Arabidopsis thaliana: one gene and its partners. The main gene of each other region encodes a partner of the protein of the gene in region 2 in a complex. Each region holds a gene or a part of one and is shown on either strand. Other genes may lie near its edges.

Evidence for each region.
Region 1: NdhN (region 2) and NdhT share a complex: the UniProt entries of both Arabidopsis thaliana proteins name them as parts of the chloroplast NDH complex.
Region 3: NdhN (region 2) and Pnsl5 share a complex: the UniProt entries of both Arabidopsis thaliana proteins name them as parts of the chloroplast NDH complex.
Region 4: NdhN (region 2) and PnsL4 share a complex: the UniProt entries of both Arabidopsis thaliana proteins name them as parts of the chloroplast NDH complex.

Annotation. Positions count from the first base shown.
Region 1 is NC_003075.7:5,930,565-5,934,466, reverse strand, and holds NdhT (Chaperone DnaJ-domain superfamily protein), read left to right. Parts: upstream 1-1,991; 5' UTR 1,992-2,314; coding exon 2,315-2,640; intron 2,641-2,726; coding exon 2,727-3,150; 3' UTR 3,151-3,357; downstream 3,358-3,902. UniProt on the Arabidopsis thaliana protein: NDH shuttles electrons from NAD(P)H:plastoquinone, via FMN and iron-sulfur (Fe-S) centers, to quinones in the photosynthetic chain and possibly in a chloroplast respiratory chain.
Region 2 is NC_003076.8:23,560,049-23,563,923, forward strand, and holds NdhN (oxidoreductases, acting on NADH or NADPH, quinone or similar compound as acceptor), read right to left. Parts: upstream 1,954-3,875; 5' UTR 1,882-1,953; coding exon 1,513-1,881; intron 1,431-1,512; coding exon 1,314-1,430; coding exon of another isoform or gene 1,308-1,313; exon of another isoform or gene 1,249-1,307; coding exon 1,163-1,248; intron 1,085-1,162; coding exon 1,027-1,084; 3' UTR 520-1,026; downstream 1-519. Other genes in the region: EMB3143 (YCF54), read left to right, coding at 1-31, 132-324; ABCB25 (ABC transporter of the mitochondrion 3), read left to right, coding at 2,120-2,768, 2,846-2,907, 2,988-3,031, 3,129-3,231, 3,378-3,485, 3,810-3,875. UniProt on the Arabidopsis thaliana protein: NDH shuttles electrons from NAD(P)H:plastoquinone, via FMN and iron-sulfur (Fe-S) centers, to quinones in the photosynthetic chain and possibly in a chloroplast respiratory chain.
Region 3 is NC_003076.8:4,161,810-4,166,763, reverse strand, and holds Pnsl5 (cyclophilin 20-2), read left to right. Parts: upstream 1-1,840; 5' UTR 1,841-2,043; coding exon 2,044-2,067; intron 2,068-2,160; coding exon 2,161-2,373; intron 2,374-2,517; coding exon 2,518-2,760; intron 2,761-3,343; coding exon 3,344-3,398; intron 3,399-3,592; coding exon 3,593-3,678; intron 3,679-3,891; coding exon 3,892-4,050; 3' UTR 4,051-4,390; downstream 4,391-4,954. Other genes in the region: AT5G13130 (Histidine kinase-, DNA gyrase B-, and HSP90-like ATPase family protein), read right to left, coding at 1-9. UniProt on the Arabidopsis thaliana protein: NDH shuttles electrons from NAD(P)H:plastoquinone, via FMN and iron-sulfur (Fe-S) centers, to quinones in the photosynthetic chain and possibly in a chloroplast respiratory chain.
Region 4 is NC_003075.7:18,426,193-18,430,156, reverse strand, and holds PnsL4 (FK506-binding protein 16-2), read left to right. Parts: upstream 1-1,578; 5' UTR 1,579-1,831; coding exon 1,832-2,179; intron 2,180-2,265; coding exon 2,266-2,358; intron 2,359-2,537; coding exon 2,538-2,598; intron 2,599-2,674; coding exon 2,675-2,743; intron 2,744-2,825; coding exon 2,826-2,908; 3' UTR 2,909-3,400; downstream 3,401-3,964. Other genes in the region: AT4G39720 (VQ motif-containing protein), read left to right, coding at 1-127, 804-842, 961-977. UniProt on the Arabidopsis thaliana protein: NDH shuttles electrons from NAD(P)H:plastoquinone, via FMN and iron-sulfur (Fe-S) centers, to quinones in the photosynthetic chain and possibly in a chloroplast respiratory chain.

The DNA of each region.
Region 1 (3,902 bases), on a different chromosome or scaffold from region 2:
ATAATGCGTTAGGAGACATGATTACCTATTAGCGGAGAACAATTGGAGCAAGACTTTTGTTTTAGTCTTCAGATCTTGTCCTCGAATAGAAATTCTCTTTTGCATCTACGTTTTGTCCTCGATTTCACCATCTTGCTCTATTATTATGAATCCTACATCTTATATGCAATTGTTCTCATTTAATAATTTTGAATTTTATTTAAATTTTTGCGATCTATTTTGATCCACAGATTAGTTGAGCGTTATTGTCTTCACCTACACGTTAACATATTTTAATAATATGTTATATCGGGACAAGTTCATATCGAATGAGTAATAGAATTGGATCGGGGACAAAGTCAGATCGAATGATAGACAAGATAATATGTAATAACTGAATATTTTTGTTGTTTTACAATAGAAGAAAAAAAAATCGTGTCGGTGAAAACAATAATGCTCAACTAATCTGTGGACCAAAATAGATGGTAAAAAATGATGAAATCAAGGACAAGATCTAGATACAACAGAAATATTGTGATGAATAAAATTGAGAGACAAATTTAATTGAAAGTTACATGTAAAGAATCTGTGCAGGTTGTCAAAGAAAGTGAGAGAGTGACAAAAGCGCTTCATCTTCGGGAAGATAATAATATATGGTTAAAGCGCACAGATTTCAAGGAAGGAGAGATAAAATAGAGAAGAAATGGAGAGGGACAAAATCGATATTTCAGTATGAAATATGACATGAGTTGTAAGGCCCAGCAAATTATGGCAGATTGCATAAGGATTGGAAAAAATATGGCATATGTTGTAATTTTTTCCTTTTTAAAAATAATCTAAATAATTCTATAATCAATATGTGAACGATATTATACTTTACAGATCTTTTTGTAACTTCACCTTAATTATGATAGACCTTGCAAACAAATAAATGCAACAAAAAATAGACACTAAAAAATCTCAACAACAATCTTTAAATTATAAAAAATCACATAAATATCTTCGGGATTCAAATTTTAATAATTATTTAAACGGATTTTCTAATTTATATCAAAACCAAATATATTGAATATAAAATATACAAATAGGAAATACATTAATTTAAAAGATACAAAATATTTAACAAGAAATTGTGTTATTTTTTGTTCAAAGAATTCGATATAAAATCTTCGAAACGATCCGATATTGATTCTTATTAGATTGAAATTGTTAAAATTTCAATATATTATACAATTTTTCTTTTTAAATTGAAATTGTAAACCGACTCGAAGTATATTAAATAAAAATATTATTAAAAAGAAAAAGAACAATTTGATTTTTAGTTATCACGGGACGGATTTATATGGCGGGACGGGTTTACAGGAGACGAGTTTACATGGTAGGACGGGTTTGGATGAGACGAGATTATATGGTGCTATGAGTTTAGATGGGAAAAATTTGGATACCACGGGTGTACTCCTAGAATTAACAATCAAATTACAACTATACAATAGTAAACAAAACAAACAATAATAACATAACAAATACAATTTTAATTTCAAATTTTTAGTTACAAAAAAATAAATAAAATCAACATTTTAGTATAAGTGTTAATCTTCTTTGACACCTCTAAATGTTATTCTTCTTTGATACATTTAAATGTGTAATTTTAATATAAAGTTACTAAACTACATATGTTCCATGGATTAAATTTGAAAACACCAAAAGTTTATATTAAATAATTTTTTTATAACAAATTATGAATAAAATAAAATATTATCCCGTGGTATGGTCTATCACAAGTCAAATCCTAAAAGATAAAATAACATATATTAGACTTATTAATATCATAATTGTGACTCAATAAAAAACATACACAACCTTATCGATAATTATTAATCATCACAAACAACAACAAACAACAAATTATATTTTGTGATAAAGAAAAATAAATAAATAAATTTAATTTACGGTATATCGCGGGTCATATCCTAATTATGATACAATTGTCTATTTTTACCCTATATATATTACAAACGCACACATTTGTTGCATAACATATTTAGACATCGCTTCCAAAGAAAGAAATCATTTATCTCTACATTATTTCTTCCTCTCATTGCCCCTCTCTTCTCAACGTTTTGTCTCTTATATCTTTACGTTTCATACTTTTTTTTTGTTGACATTTAATTATTTAAATTTTTTGTTCCTATGGACACTAGATAGGACAACAAAAGATATAAAGAAAATCTACACCACACATATCATGAGGTTCTGGAACAAGTTTCTGCGGTAAGAGAAACCAAAAACATGAAGGGCAGAAAAAAAAAGAACAAACCATCTTCAACACAGAGCCATGGCTTATGCAACTTCTACCTATGCACGAACCTCATGCATTATCCTACCCAAAATCCAAAACGGCGCGCATTTCACGGATGACACGAAAGCATTTAGAAGGATAACAGCAAGAAGAGTGACGCGTATATACGCGTCACAAGGCCCGACTAAACCGTCAAAACCATCTCCAGGAGTAGACACAAGAATCCACTGGGAAAGCCCGGACGAAGGCTGGATCGGAGGAAGATCCGACCCGGCCAAATCGGTTGATGAGGACAAAACCAATCTCCTTAGTGACGAAAAATTTGCAGAACTAATCAAAGACTCTTTTGATTCTCATTACCAGTGAGCAAAACAAACATTCTCATTACATATCTTTTTATTTTTATTTTTCAATATGTATTGTAACATGTAACAATAATCATTTTCAGATTCTTAGGTGTTTCAACGGATGCTGATCTAGAAGAGATAAAATCTGCGTACCGGAGATTATCTAAAGAGTATCATCCAGATACAACTTCACTACCACTTAAAACAGCTTCAGAAAAGTTCATGAAATTAAGAGAAGTGTACAATGTTTTGAGCGATGAAGAGACTCGGAGGTTTTATGACTGGACACTGGCTCAAGAAGTTGCGAGTCGTCAAGCTGAGAAAATGAGAATGAAGCTAGAGGATCCGAAAGAGCAAGATTTTAGGGGCTATGAATCAATACCTGATATGGTTGACCGGTTAGGTGGAAGAAACATGGAGCTTAGTGATCAAGCAATGACTGCTCTCACGTTCGATATTTTGATCGTATTATTCGCTGTTTGTTGTATAGCTTTTGTGATTGTTTTCAAAGATCCTTCTTACTAGGTAAGGAGCTTTGTATATACTTGGAAAATTCATATAGTTTATATGTAGATGGAAGATTAACAATTACAGATTATAAGATCATTTGAACTAAAATAAAGTGGTCTAGTGGTTCTGTTCCTCACCTTTTTTGTGTGTGTGTTATTTTTGGATTTTTTCTAAGCTATCCAAACATTGTTTTAGAGCTATATTTTGTTATGCTTACCTAGCTAATCCAAATAGTCTCATTTATATAAAACAAAGCGAACAAAATAGTAGTTTTGATAACTAATGCGGAATTCACTAGTTTGGGAAGTATAGTAGGAATAAAAACTAGGGAGATTTGCAAAACTACCCTTTTTTCACTACCTTTTGCAACAATACCCTTTTATCAAGTCTTATATATATGTAGCACCTGACTCAATCCTCCTTAGACGTGTTCCTTAGAACTGTTCGATGCACATTTTGACTACGTTTTTTTTTCTTTTTTTCCTAAGATGTAAATATTTCACTAAAAATGAAAACAGTTTAAGAGTATAATCAAAAGACTATAAATGGTCCCATGACAAAAGAAAAACATGAAGCATAATTTATCAAGCAAACTTCAGTCCATCCGCATAACAAACGCACATAAGCTAATAGAACTAGATGAAGTGATAAAGGATTTTGTTGTTCTTTCAGACTAGTTTGAGTAAATGAAGGGTGATAGCACGTGAAGAAGCCAAAATTGTCTGCACACTAAGCACTATAAGCCTTTCACTGGAAACCCAAATTGA
Region 2 (3,875 bases):
CTCTTGTTTCCACCAATGGCACCTGGATCACGTTAGAACCCTAATCCCAATCTCTCTCTTTTCAAAATTACGTTCCTCACTCCCTCCTTATCTAACGCATTTGTGTTTTGCAATTTGTTGTTTTATGGCAGGTTTATGAAGTTAAGATTGGATCGTGTTCTGTATGATTCCTTTGAAGCTACCTCTCTTGATGAAGCTTTGGCCTCCAATCCTACCACTCTTGAGTTCGATAAGCCTAAAAATTGGGTGGCGCCATACCCCAAGTATGAACCTGGATGGTGGGATACCTTCTTGCCTAAAGTAACCCAAGAATCTGCAGTATAGAACTTTGCTTTTTGTCTTGTTTTTGCATTCTCCAATCTCAGCTTTGTCTTAGTGCTTCAAAGTTTTGTACTACTGAGCTCATTATCCAAGTCTATATCTTTCCTAGTGTAGCTTCTATTACTCAAAGTTGCCTGTTTGATACGTCACTGACTCAAGGTTAAGCATAGAACTAGACAACAAAAAGCATCCTCACATTTAGCTCCATCAAAGTCTTAAGGGTGACCATATTTGTTGATTTCTCACGAGAATATTGGCAAGAACCTTCAGTTAAAGCTCTAGGTATTAAGTTGTCTAGTCACAGGAGGGCAATATGCCTACTCGCTGAAGAACTTTGCAAAAGATCTGAATTTTTTGGTTTTCAAAACGATTTGTGGACTCGGAACATGTTGTTACTCGTTAGGTCTAGTGACTGGAGTTGATCAAAGTAAGTTGCACATGTTTCTGCTGAATCAAGTGTTCTATGTTGTACTTCTGGATTGCTCTGTAGTCTGTATCTAAGCGTGTCCTATCAATCTTACTGATTATACATACTTTTATTTGTGACAAAGCAGAGTCAGAAATTATCTTTAACTACTCCATGGGAATATACTACCAAGTTACAAATACAGATTTTAACTTTTACTATGGGATGAGTATTGCTACACTTGCGGGAGATGCATTCATGAAAAACTATACACTGGTAGCTCCACTTGTGCCATTAAGTTACTCTTGTGCAGCTAGATTTGCAATTTCTGCTAGAGGCTTCCACACGAACTTTCTCCTGCAGGGGAATTGGTAATGGTCATGCAAATTGCAAACATAGATGATTAGTGTGTATGGTAAGGAATGATATACTCACCAGTTGCCACATTCAGCAATAACCCTGACGTTAGGACGAAGAGAGGGAAGTAAAGCGAGAAATTGAAGCTCCGATTTTGAGAGGACCTGAGTGAAATGGAAATATGAGAAAGAGCATGTGGGAGAACAGATCAAATGAGAGAAACTCAAACCTTTGCTTCGAGGACCCATACAACAAGACCCTTGGCACTAGGGGGAAGAGCAGCGAGCCTGTAATCAACTTCTGGTGGATAATACCATCTTGCTATAGGTTGTTTCCCAAGATGAGCCTAAAAGAAGAGAAGATACATGGTTCACACAAAATTATATTGAAACAAGATTAAAGTAGAAGATGGATGAAAGTAGACATACAGGGCAAACAGGGTAGTTCTTGAGAAGGGTAGTCTCAGGGTCACCAAGGCCACGAGCAGAGATGTCAAGAAAGTAGTAGCCCTGCATTTTGAGACGGTTAAGATAACGACCTTCGTAACCACCCTCATGAGGAGCGTAAATGGCGATTGCCTTGTGTTCTTCCACGTCTTGAAGCCATTGTCCGATGTCCGGCTTCACCAAGTCACCTCCGATGTAGTCAGCTATGCTGCTACATTTCACACCAGTGCTTCTTCTTCTCTTACTCCTAGTATTCACCAAAAAGGAACCAACTGTTTTGATCTTCTTCACTTGCGAGGCTTCAAAACACGGTGGTGCCACACGTTGTATACATATTGCACGGCTTCCCATTTCTTTACTAACAATGACTTCTTGTGGAAGTAGCTCATAATAAACATTGCTTGACGACGATGATGATGAAAGAATGGTGGAGAAACGACGACTCACTCCACAAAGGGATAGACATTAATGGGCTTAAAATGTATTGGGCTTTATTTATTAGGCCCATTAAGCACCGCCGAACGTCGTGACATTGTTAGCTAGCTCGCCGGAGCAAAATTCAGTCTGTGAAACTTTCGGAGAAGAAGGGATGTCGAGAGGATCTCGATTCGTTAGGGCTCCTGGGCTCTTACTCTGTCGCGTTAATCTTCAACCTCAACCCAAAATCCCATCTTTTTCCTACAGTCTTCGCTCTGATTATCGTCTTCATAATGGTTTCTCCAATTACATCAGACGTAACTCAATTCGAACATCTCCGGTTATCAATGCCTTCCTCTCAGATAACTCACCATCCCCGTCACCATCACCATCCCCAATTCGTTTTGTTCAACGGAGTTCAATGCTTAATGGTCGTCTCTTCTCGACTTCTACTCCCAATCCAGACCAAACCACCACCAAGACTAAGGAAATCAAGACAACCTCGTCGGATTCAGACTCAGCTATGGCTGACATGAAGATTCTCCGTACGCTTGCTGGCTATTTGTGGATGAGAGACAATCCAGAATTCCGTTTCAGGGTCATCGCTGCTTTGGGTTTTCTCGTGGGTGCTAAGGTCTTGAATGTCCAAGTCCCTTTCCTCTTCAAATTAGCTGTTGATTGGCTTGCTTCAGCTACCGGTACTGGAGCCTCACTTACCACCTTCGCTGCTACAAACCCAACTCTTCTTACTGTTTTTGCTACTCCTGCTGCTGTTCTCATTGGATACGGGATTGCTCGGACGGGTTCTTCTGCTTTTAATGGTAACTCTCAATAGCTCTAGTTTTCTTTAAAAAAGAATGCACTTTTCACTCTTGGTTGTTACTTTTCATCATCGCAGAACTTCGTACTGCTGTGTTCTCTAAGGTAGCTCTCCGAACAATACGATCTGTTTCTAGAAAGGTATGCTGCTGCTGCTCTAAACTATCTTGTCGATAGAGATATTTTAATGTATGAATCAATTTCATATGGTCGCTTTGCAGGTGTTCTCACATTTACATGATCTTGACCTTCGTTACCACCTAAGGTATCTATCTCTCCTCTCTTACTCTTGTGAGTAGTCTCGCTCATTCCATCTTAGATTCATCTCATCATAACTTCCTTACTTAATTGCTTATGTCCAGTCGAGAAACAGGCGGCTTGAACAGGATTATTGATCGTGGTAGCCGTGCAATAAATTTTATCCTCTCAGCTATGGTTTTCAATGTTGTTCCTACCATATTGGAGGTAAAGCTTGTCTGACCACTTGGTGCTTTCTCATGATCATTGTTTTTTTTCTCATTTTGAATAATTGGCAGTTGCTCATTCATATTTGGATTTCACTATTCATTCGTCTCTAAAAACACTCGACGTAATTAATATGTATCTTTCAGATATCTATGGTATCAGGTATACTGGCATACAAGTTTGGAGCTGCTTTTGCCTGGATTACTTCTCTCTCCGTTGGATCATATATCGTTTTCACATTAGCTGTGACACAGGTACTGTGCCTTTTTCGGTATTCTCTTTTCAATGCCAACTATAATGCAATACTTGCGTTATTATCATGATAATCCAGCAATAACTGTGATATTTTATTTAAGAAACTACTATAGTATACATTGTTCTGGAATTCGTTACTAAGCTTCTCTAATCTTAACTGTATCAACTCTTTGGATCGGCTTAAATCATTCTAGTTGTGATATTAGGTTTGATGATGTATAGAAGGATAGTTGTCTTCATACATTCTCTTCAACTTTCATTATCTTGTTACAAATCTTTTTGGTGTCAAACGCTTTGCTCACGGTTTTATTTATTTTATCCAGTGGCGAACCAAGTTTAGAAAGGCTATGAACAAAGCTGATAATGATGCTAGCACAAGGGCCATTGAT
Region 3 (4,954 bases), about 19 Mb from region 2:
TTCGGCCATGTCTCCGATCACTAACAGTGGTTTATTGGACTTGATTTGAGAAGAATCCGTGGTTGCAGTAGAAGCTTCTAGGGTTTTGAAGCAGCTTGAAGTGGGAGAGAGGAGAGAGAGACGTGAGACACGCACGACACACAGACTCTTCAAGTAGTGGGAGCGTCTTTATAGAAAAGTGAGTGGCGCGACTTACAAATAAAACCGTCCAGCTTCCCGGCCCCAATTTCGTAACTCACAGGCCCATCTGTGTTATTAGAGCAACCCTAATGGTTAAACTTTTAATAGGTTTTTTCCAATTTTTTTAATTTTAAAATTTGAGATTTGAATTTAAGAGATTTTGTTGGTCTCTTAATTTTTCTTGGTTTAATGGTAGAAATTTTTAGTGAGTTTCTTATAGTAAAAAATATTATTAAAATGAAAATTATAAATATTCTATTTTATAAAATTTAATAATTAATACAAATACTAAAATTTTAAACCTACAAGAAATGAATATTGAGAATCGGAATAACAATTAGTAGTTAGTTTGATTCCCACCAAATTTGTGTTATATATGCTCAACCAAATCACCTTTCAATTGTTGATGCATAGCCCGATCACGAACTCGAGCACGAGAGACCATAAAATTACCGAGATTTGAAGACATATCTGTAGAGTAGTTAAAATAACTTGTGAAGAGATGGTTGATTCTGGTAGTATGAATTTAGATGCACCAAACGATTTTTTTCAATTTAGTCTTTGATTTGATTATTACGCCCTATGATGAGGAGCTCGACACATATCATCTTTCATCAACATTGACATCGCCATCGTAAATGGAAATAACGAAATGAAAACAATTCAACCGAAATGAAAAGAAAAAAATTGGGTCATATTTTTCCTTCTCTTCCCTCTCCACCAATAGAAGTTTGCCATGTAGGGTCCCTTTGTTGTTTGAAAAATACCGTAAGAGAGAAACAACCCTCTCAATTAAACTGATTTCTAATTTATTTTGGGCTATATAATTCAAGGGACCAACCCTCAAAAGCCCCTTAGAGGCTGCCGTTGGAGTTGGTCTCAGATACAAGGTTTAATTAGTTTTAACTTGCTCTAAAGCCTCTCTACTATAACTTTATTACATTTTGTTTAGTAACAAATGACATTCCCTCTTTTTCTCCCTTTTTGAAATAAATATTCTTTAGATTTACACAATTTTGTTGTTTTTTAGAACTGTTCATCGAAAAATTTCGTCATATTGTCACTAAACTTTTGTAACTTCTAAGAAATTTCCAATATGTTTTCAAAATTTTACCATATAAATACTAATTTTAAGAGAAAATTTGTATCAATAATATGGATTAAAACATGAAGTTAGATTTTTTTTAAAAAGCTTAAAGCCCAATTTTTTTAAAAAAATTGCAAATAATCAGTCTTGAGAATTGAGCATGTTACCAATTCATGTTATACGGAATTAACACTGAACTATATTTCGTTTAACCGTTAAATTATACATGGTACAAAAAAATTGATGTCGTTTACTACTATATAAATATTGTTGATGCCTTTTACTTGCTTGAGCCCAAGATCAACTCTACCTTCTATTTCCGTAATGAATGACAACATATAATCTTATAACTGTATTAATTTATAATTTTTTTATATGACTCGGTTAATTTCCGCGCGATGCATATTTTGTTTTGAAAAAATATTTTTGATTTGTATTTATGGTTTTATTTTCTTATATTAAATAAATATCAGAAATAGTGAACACACTATTTTCTTATAGTAGGTTTGTATTTTAGTTTATGAGATTAGTGTCATTTTGATACGATGAGTTTTTCTTTGTTTGCACTTTGCACAGGTAAATATGCTTCATAGGATCGGCTGACCTGACCCACTCAAAATTGACTCGATGCGAAGCCACGTAACCGGCAGGGGCATAACTGTAAATAACCATGGAATGTATTTCTCAGACTCTTTCGTGCTATCACTCGCTCATCGTCACCTTCACCTTCACCTACCATTTTTGCCAACAAACGCGAGCAAGAGTTTTGAGCTCCAATGGCGACCTTGTCGATGACTCTGGTGCGTTTAATTTTTCCCTTTTGTACTTTTGATTTTGTTTTACCTTTCCGCTTCTTCTGCTTCTCCTGCTCTAATTTTCGGTTATCATCATAGTCAAATCCGAAGTCGCTCTCAGCTCCTCCACGAAGACTTTCTCCGATCAATACCTCCGCTTTCACATCTACCTCTTTCCGATTGCGCACCAAATCTTCCTTCGATTCAATCTCGTTCTCGTCTTCAACTCCCTTCTCCGCCTCATCGCTCCTCCTTCACACGTCTTATACCAAAAGAAACCACCGCTGTTTCTCTGTTCAATCCAATGCTGAGGTTAGGGATTCTCTCATATCTTGTTAGTCACTGATGTCATTTGATGGAATTGGTTGTTTTATTCAGCTTACTCTTAGTTTTTTTTTTCCATTAGATTTACTAAAAGCTATGGAATCATAATATGATGTGGATTTTGTATTCCAGGTGGTTACTGAACCGCAATCGAAAATAACACACAAGGTGTATTTCGATATAAGTGTTGGCAATCCAGTGGGGAAGTTAGCTGGGAGGATTGTTATTGGATTGTATGGTGATGATGTTCCCCAAACTGTGGAGAACTTTCGTGCTCTATGCACAGGTGAAAAGGGATTTGGCTACAAGGGTTCTACATTCCATCGTGTCATCAGAGATTTCATGATTCAGGGAGGAGACTTTGAGAAGGGCAATGTGAGTTTTTCTGGCTGAATTCCTTGGCAGCACCAGTTTCTTGTTAGCTGACTTGCGGTCCATATTATGTTTCTTTTGATTTACTTTGGTTCATCTTATTTTCTGCCAAATCACAAAGTAAAGTAAGCTGTCTCATATCAGGATGGCAGGATGTTTATTAATTTCTTGGATGTGGTACATAGTATAAGTCAAATCTTTCTCGATAAGGAAGGATGCTTAAGTTCTTACTTGTACGGATTTAGAGTCGCTCTTGAAAGCACATGTTTGGGTACATTAATAGGAAAAAGCCTGACCTTTGGAGAGCTTTCTACAGACAATCTTTCTGATAGCTGGCTCTCTGATTTGTAGATCAGTGGCTTTAGAAGAACAACCCCTGTTAATCTTAGACTTTTGTTCTTTTCTATATAGATAATACCTGGGCTGTAGGGAACTTATATACTGGTTCGTGGGTATGCAACTAGCTGTAGCTCGGTAGAAATATATTGTTATTTTCTGTTTCTGCCCATCTCAGTTACCGAAGATTCTTCTAGTAACTGCTAGGAGAATTCCATAATAATGATACAGAAGTCTAATTGTTGAGCAGGGAACTGGAGGTAAAAGTGTATATGGCCGTACATTCAAGGATGAGAATTTCAAGTGTAAGTCTATCCTTTTTCACTTGTTTCCTTCTTCTTCATTCTCCCCAGCTGTGCTTTAGCATTCATATTTATCAGTGGTAATGCATTTTAACTAAACATTTCTGCATTCTCTTTTTAGCTGAGCTGAGTATAATATATACCAAACCTTCAGTTTTATAAAATTCATGAAAGTAATAATGTGCTATACGCTGCAGTATCCCATGTCGGACCAGGAGTTCTAAGTATGGCAAATGCTGGCCCTAATACAAATGGAAGTCAGTTCTTTATCTGCACTATTAAGGTAAAATCTCCCTCTGGTTAAGGCCTATTGTTAAATTAGAAGTTATACGTAGGCAAGCGAGCATCAACAATAAAGAACACAGGTATTACAGTATATAGAATCCAATAATATAACCTAAAGAGTAGAGTTTTGAAATTGGAAACGAAGAACCATCCAAGCTTTGTTGGGAAATTTAGTGTATATCAAATTAATATGCGATAACGATGTGGACAGACGTCATGGTTGGACGGAAGACATGTGGTGTTCGGGCAAGTAATAGAAGGAATGGAAGTGGTGAAGCTGATAGAGGAACAAGAGACAGACAGAGGAGACCGTCCCAGAAAGAAAGTGGTGATAGCAGACTGTGGTCAACTTCCAATGTCTGAAGCTTAAAAGTAAGATCATTTAACCAAAATCTTGTAGACATGAGATGGAGCTTGTTTTTGCATTTTACAACCCTTTCTTTTGTGTAATGGATTTGTATCCCCTTCTTCCAAAAATTTAAGAAAGAAATAGTATTCCGCTGCCGGGTGTTGAACTCATATTTCATTTCATTGGTTTGTTTCGAAATTAACCATTGTGTTATAGCGGTTCAGTTGCATTACTAAGATACAAAATCTGAAGATTCAAGAGTAGTCGATGCAGTTGTGAAATTGGTCTGTGTAATACAGCGGATTTGTTGGTTTGGTATACGAGCAATTTGTATTTAAAGTCCGATCTCTTCATAAAAAAGTAAGAACAACAATTGAAACAAAAAATATTCCGCTGCCCGGATTTGATCCCGGATTTCATTTTGAGTAGTGAAATTGGCCTGTGTGCTACAGCGGACTTGTTTGATTTATATACGAGGGATTTGTTTTTAAAGTCTGATATCTTATTGAAAACAATACTAATTAAAATAATAAGTATTCCGCTGCCGGGGTTTGATCCCGGATTTCATATTGAGTAGTGAAATTGGCCTGTGTGCTACAGCGGACTTTTTGGTTTTGTATATGAGTGATTTGTATTTAAAGTCTGATATCTTATTGAAAACTAACTAATTGAACCAAAAAGTATTACGCTGCCGAGGTTTGAGCCCGGATTTCAAATTCTGTTGTGAAATTGGCATGTGTGCTACAGCGGACTTGTTGAACATGTATCCGATCAATTTGTATATAAAGTCTGCTTTCAGATTAATGAACAATATAATTACTTGTACCTATCACATGTTTGTATTTTAGTGTTCTTTCTTTTTGGTCAACCTTTTCTAGATACAAGATATCTCTGAATACTAGAAGAGCACACCATAAAAAGAAGA
Region 4 (3,964 bases), on a different chromosome or scaffold from region 2:
TTTGGTCTTGGTATGATGCAGACTCCATCTACTAATCCTCCTACTACAACGGCAGCGGCTAACGGGAACATAAACACCGGTGATAATGGAAGCTACGGTGGCTCCGATCATGAACATAATAATGACGGTACTTGGTTATCTTCGTCTTCCGACCAGAGAACATAAATATATTTATGTATAGTCCAAGTCCGAAATCAAAGCTAATCTCTTGACATGATTACTCAACAAATTAAACATAGCACATATAGCATGATGAAGTTACTCGTTTATATATTCTATATTTCAGTATAAACCACTTTAAAACTTTTTTCGTGTAGGGTTTGTTAATTATTTAATACTTAATTAATATGCTTGTTATTTGTTAATCTTAGTTTTTTCCATAACTATATGTTGGTAAGTATTAGTTAGTAGATGGATCTCACCATTTGAATCAGATTTTCTTGGTATATTTTCTTATAATTATATAGAACTTTTAAATTTTAATGACAACGATGACTTGCGATATGAAATTTTAATTTTTCAACAATCAATATACAGTACGTGGTTTTGGGATCACTACGGTTAATATTTCTCCTAATTAATATTGGAGTGAATGGTGGCGAAATTTGGGGAATCTTCCACGGCCGCCGGATTGTGGAATATGGTTTTGGGACCATAGTATATAATTATTAATTAATTATAGACTTGTGGTGATTTGAAATTTGATAAATTACTGTTCTCCCATGTGCTTATTCATTTTTGGTGTATCATCTACATTAACGTCAATTTTTATTGACTTGACTCTCATTTTACCATACCAACAGATTTGAAATTTGAAAATTTCCCAAGCAAAAGAAAAACAGGTAATCAATAATGATAATTATACATACATTTTGGTTTTGACCTACTTTTGTCATATGACAATTTATCTTTATAGACACTTTTACTTCTATTATTATAAGTCTCTTTGTTTGTGAATAGGGGCAAATTTCATTTGACCGCCTCCGACAACCATTGACCTTGTCACGGCTCTGAATGTGATGCGTCTACAAAATTCCTAACTTTTTTCAGTCTTCTCATTAACCAATCAATCGTTAGAATATTCAGCTTAATTTATATCTCTTTCTAGTCTCTAGCTTAACAACACTTCAGAATGAAATGTCAGTTCTTTGTAAGCGGGGTTTTCAATAATATCATTTGCTACTGTATAGTATAATAGTAACTCTTAAAAATAATAATTCTTGTTTTTCACAATAAGATTTGATGATGGATTGATGGTCGCAAAACAAATAATGACATTTGATGAAAAATCTTTTGCTTGTTCTTGTGTATACAAAAGTTCAAATGATTTTGATATTTTTTTGTCCACGGACCAGTTACACTTAAGTCACCAATGCACTGTATAACCTATACACATCACTTACATAAACTATCAACAATGTGCATATATGTGTATCTCTATCTAAATGGAATATATAATAATGGGTGATGATGATGGTTTAATATTATGGTGGTGGTTATGGTGGACCATGATATCAAGCTATTGTCGCACTGATGGGTTTTCTATGTATTCAGATGATACTCGGTTTCATAGTTGAGTGATAACTAGGTCTGGCCATTATCTTACTATCCAAATAATTCGATTCGGGTTCTCAATTTTGTGGGCCGATTGGCTCCAAAAGTTTCATTATTATTTTTGTTCTGTTGAAAATAGAAATCCAAAAAAATACGGGTGGGTCCCATAATCATATCCATTGTACCGTTGCACACTCAAAAGACAAAAGATTCAGACCAAAGGCTCTGGCTTCACGCAGATAAGGAAGCAGAGATCGAAACGAAGACTCAAAGAAGAATGGCGATTTCTACTTTAACACTCACACAATCTCTCTATACACGTTCCTTCAGACCAACCATCTTCTTTTCTTCTTCTTCTTCCTCGTCCTTTTCGTGTCTCTGTTCTTCTTCCTCCGATTGCGAGCCGAAACTCTCCGTCAAGAAACGCGTTTTCGGAGTGGGTTTAGGGTTCCTAGCTTCTTCGATTCTCTCTCTAACGCCTCTGGACGCAGACGCCACGAGGATTGACTACTACGCCACTGTAGGAGATCCTCTCTGCGAATACAGCTACGCAAAATCAGGACTTGGATTTTGCGATCTCGATGTTGGATTTGGTGATGAAGCCCCTCGTGGCGTACTCGTCAATGTAATCTCTCCATCTCTCTAATTTCCTCTGTTTAGGGTTTTTGATTCAAAGTTTGAGACTTTGGAGAGTTGGTCACACACACACAGATCCATTACACGGCGAGGTTTGCAGATGGAACGTTGTTTGACAGTAGCTATAAGCGTGCAAGACCACTTACTATGCGAATTGGAGTCGGCAAGGTACAACAAAGAACCATTGTCTCTCTCTCTCTTTGTTAGCTTCCATAGTCTTCAATTGCATTGCTAGCAAAGTTCACACTTGTCTTTGTTGAAGTTAGTTAGTTTCTTATGTTCTTCTTTGTGATTAGGGTGAGCAAAACAACTATATATCTAAACTCTTGATGTCCAAAAATGATCAGGTAATTAGGGGACTAGACCAGGGGATTCTTGGAGGCGAAGGAGTACCTCCTATGCGAGTAGGCAAGTGTACTGTATTTTCCTTTGTTCAATGTCCTTTATTTGGCTGATAACATATTGGTGCGGTTTTATTTTGCAGGCGGAAAGCGTAAACTTCAGATTCCACCTAAGTTAGCTTATGGACCAGAGCCTGCAGGATGCTTTTCTGGTACTTGCACAATTCCTCTGTAACAGTTTCACTTGTATATGTAAGATATGTATCTCGAGTAATAAATCGACTCTTTATGCAGGTGACTGCAACATACCTGGCAATGCAACTTTGCTCTATGATATCAACTTTGTTGAGATCTACCCAGGAAGTAATACAAGATGAAGCCAACTCCAATCCCGTTTGGTAAAGGAACAAACAACTATGTATGTGATGTATATCACCAGGTGATTACTTTTGACAAGCTTCAGATTATAATTTCTGTAACCTAAAACATTGATGATTTCCAACTGAATCCAATGTCTAACCTCCTATTAAAGAACAAGACACATCTTCTCTGTGCAGATCTGTCTTTTTGTTAAGTTATGACCTTGGAAAATCATATACTTGCATAAATGTATAAGCGCGTGTTAGGTTAGATTCAGTCTTGGTAAGTGATGCAGCTTGTGTCACAAAGATGTACAGAGTCTAGAATAAAGTTGTGTGATGTGGTTTTTCATCGGTGTCATATCTCTGTAATTGGTCCCCTCACAACAACTCATGAATCTTAAGGCCAAAAAAAGTGTAAAACTTTGGTTCTTGCCTACTTGAGCATGTTGAAAATACATAAGACAAATCTTCATTTTTCGATTTTCCAGGAAAAACACAGTGCATGAGCTAATTTACAGCGTACCGGAGGTTCTTAAAGGCTGATGTTAGGCCATCCTCAATGGAGGGTTCTAAGATAAATGAGGTTTTTAAAGAAATCATATATATGAAAGTTGGCCAACTCTCTCCATATGGGTGACACATCATCACATAAGAAAATATCATGTGTCATTTAATATTGATTAAATTAAAATTAGCAAAATTAATTGAGAGAAAATAAAAAATCTCATATTGTGTTAAATCCTCCATTAATTCATTTCTTAAATGATTTTTTCAAAATATAAATATAAATAAAATTACTTATTTAAATAAATCAATTACTACTTTTATTTTACTTTTATTATTTTTTATTTTTAAAAATTTTAATGGTCAATGGTCATCACTCTATAATGACTAAATAGTTGTTTATGTTGTAGTTTATTTGTTTGCTACCTAATATTAGTGTAGTTATTTTACCTTGATTTTTTAATTATTATTACGTTATGGTTCATATCTTATCATATGAAATTCTGTATTTTTATTTTTGTATCTTTAGGTAAGTTCGTAACATTGACATTCAATATTTTTAAGTAA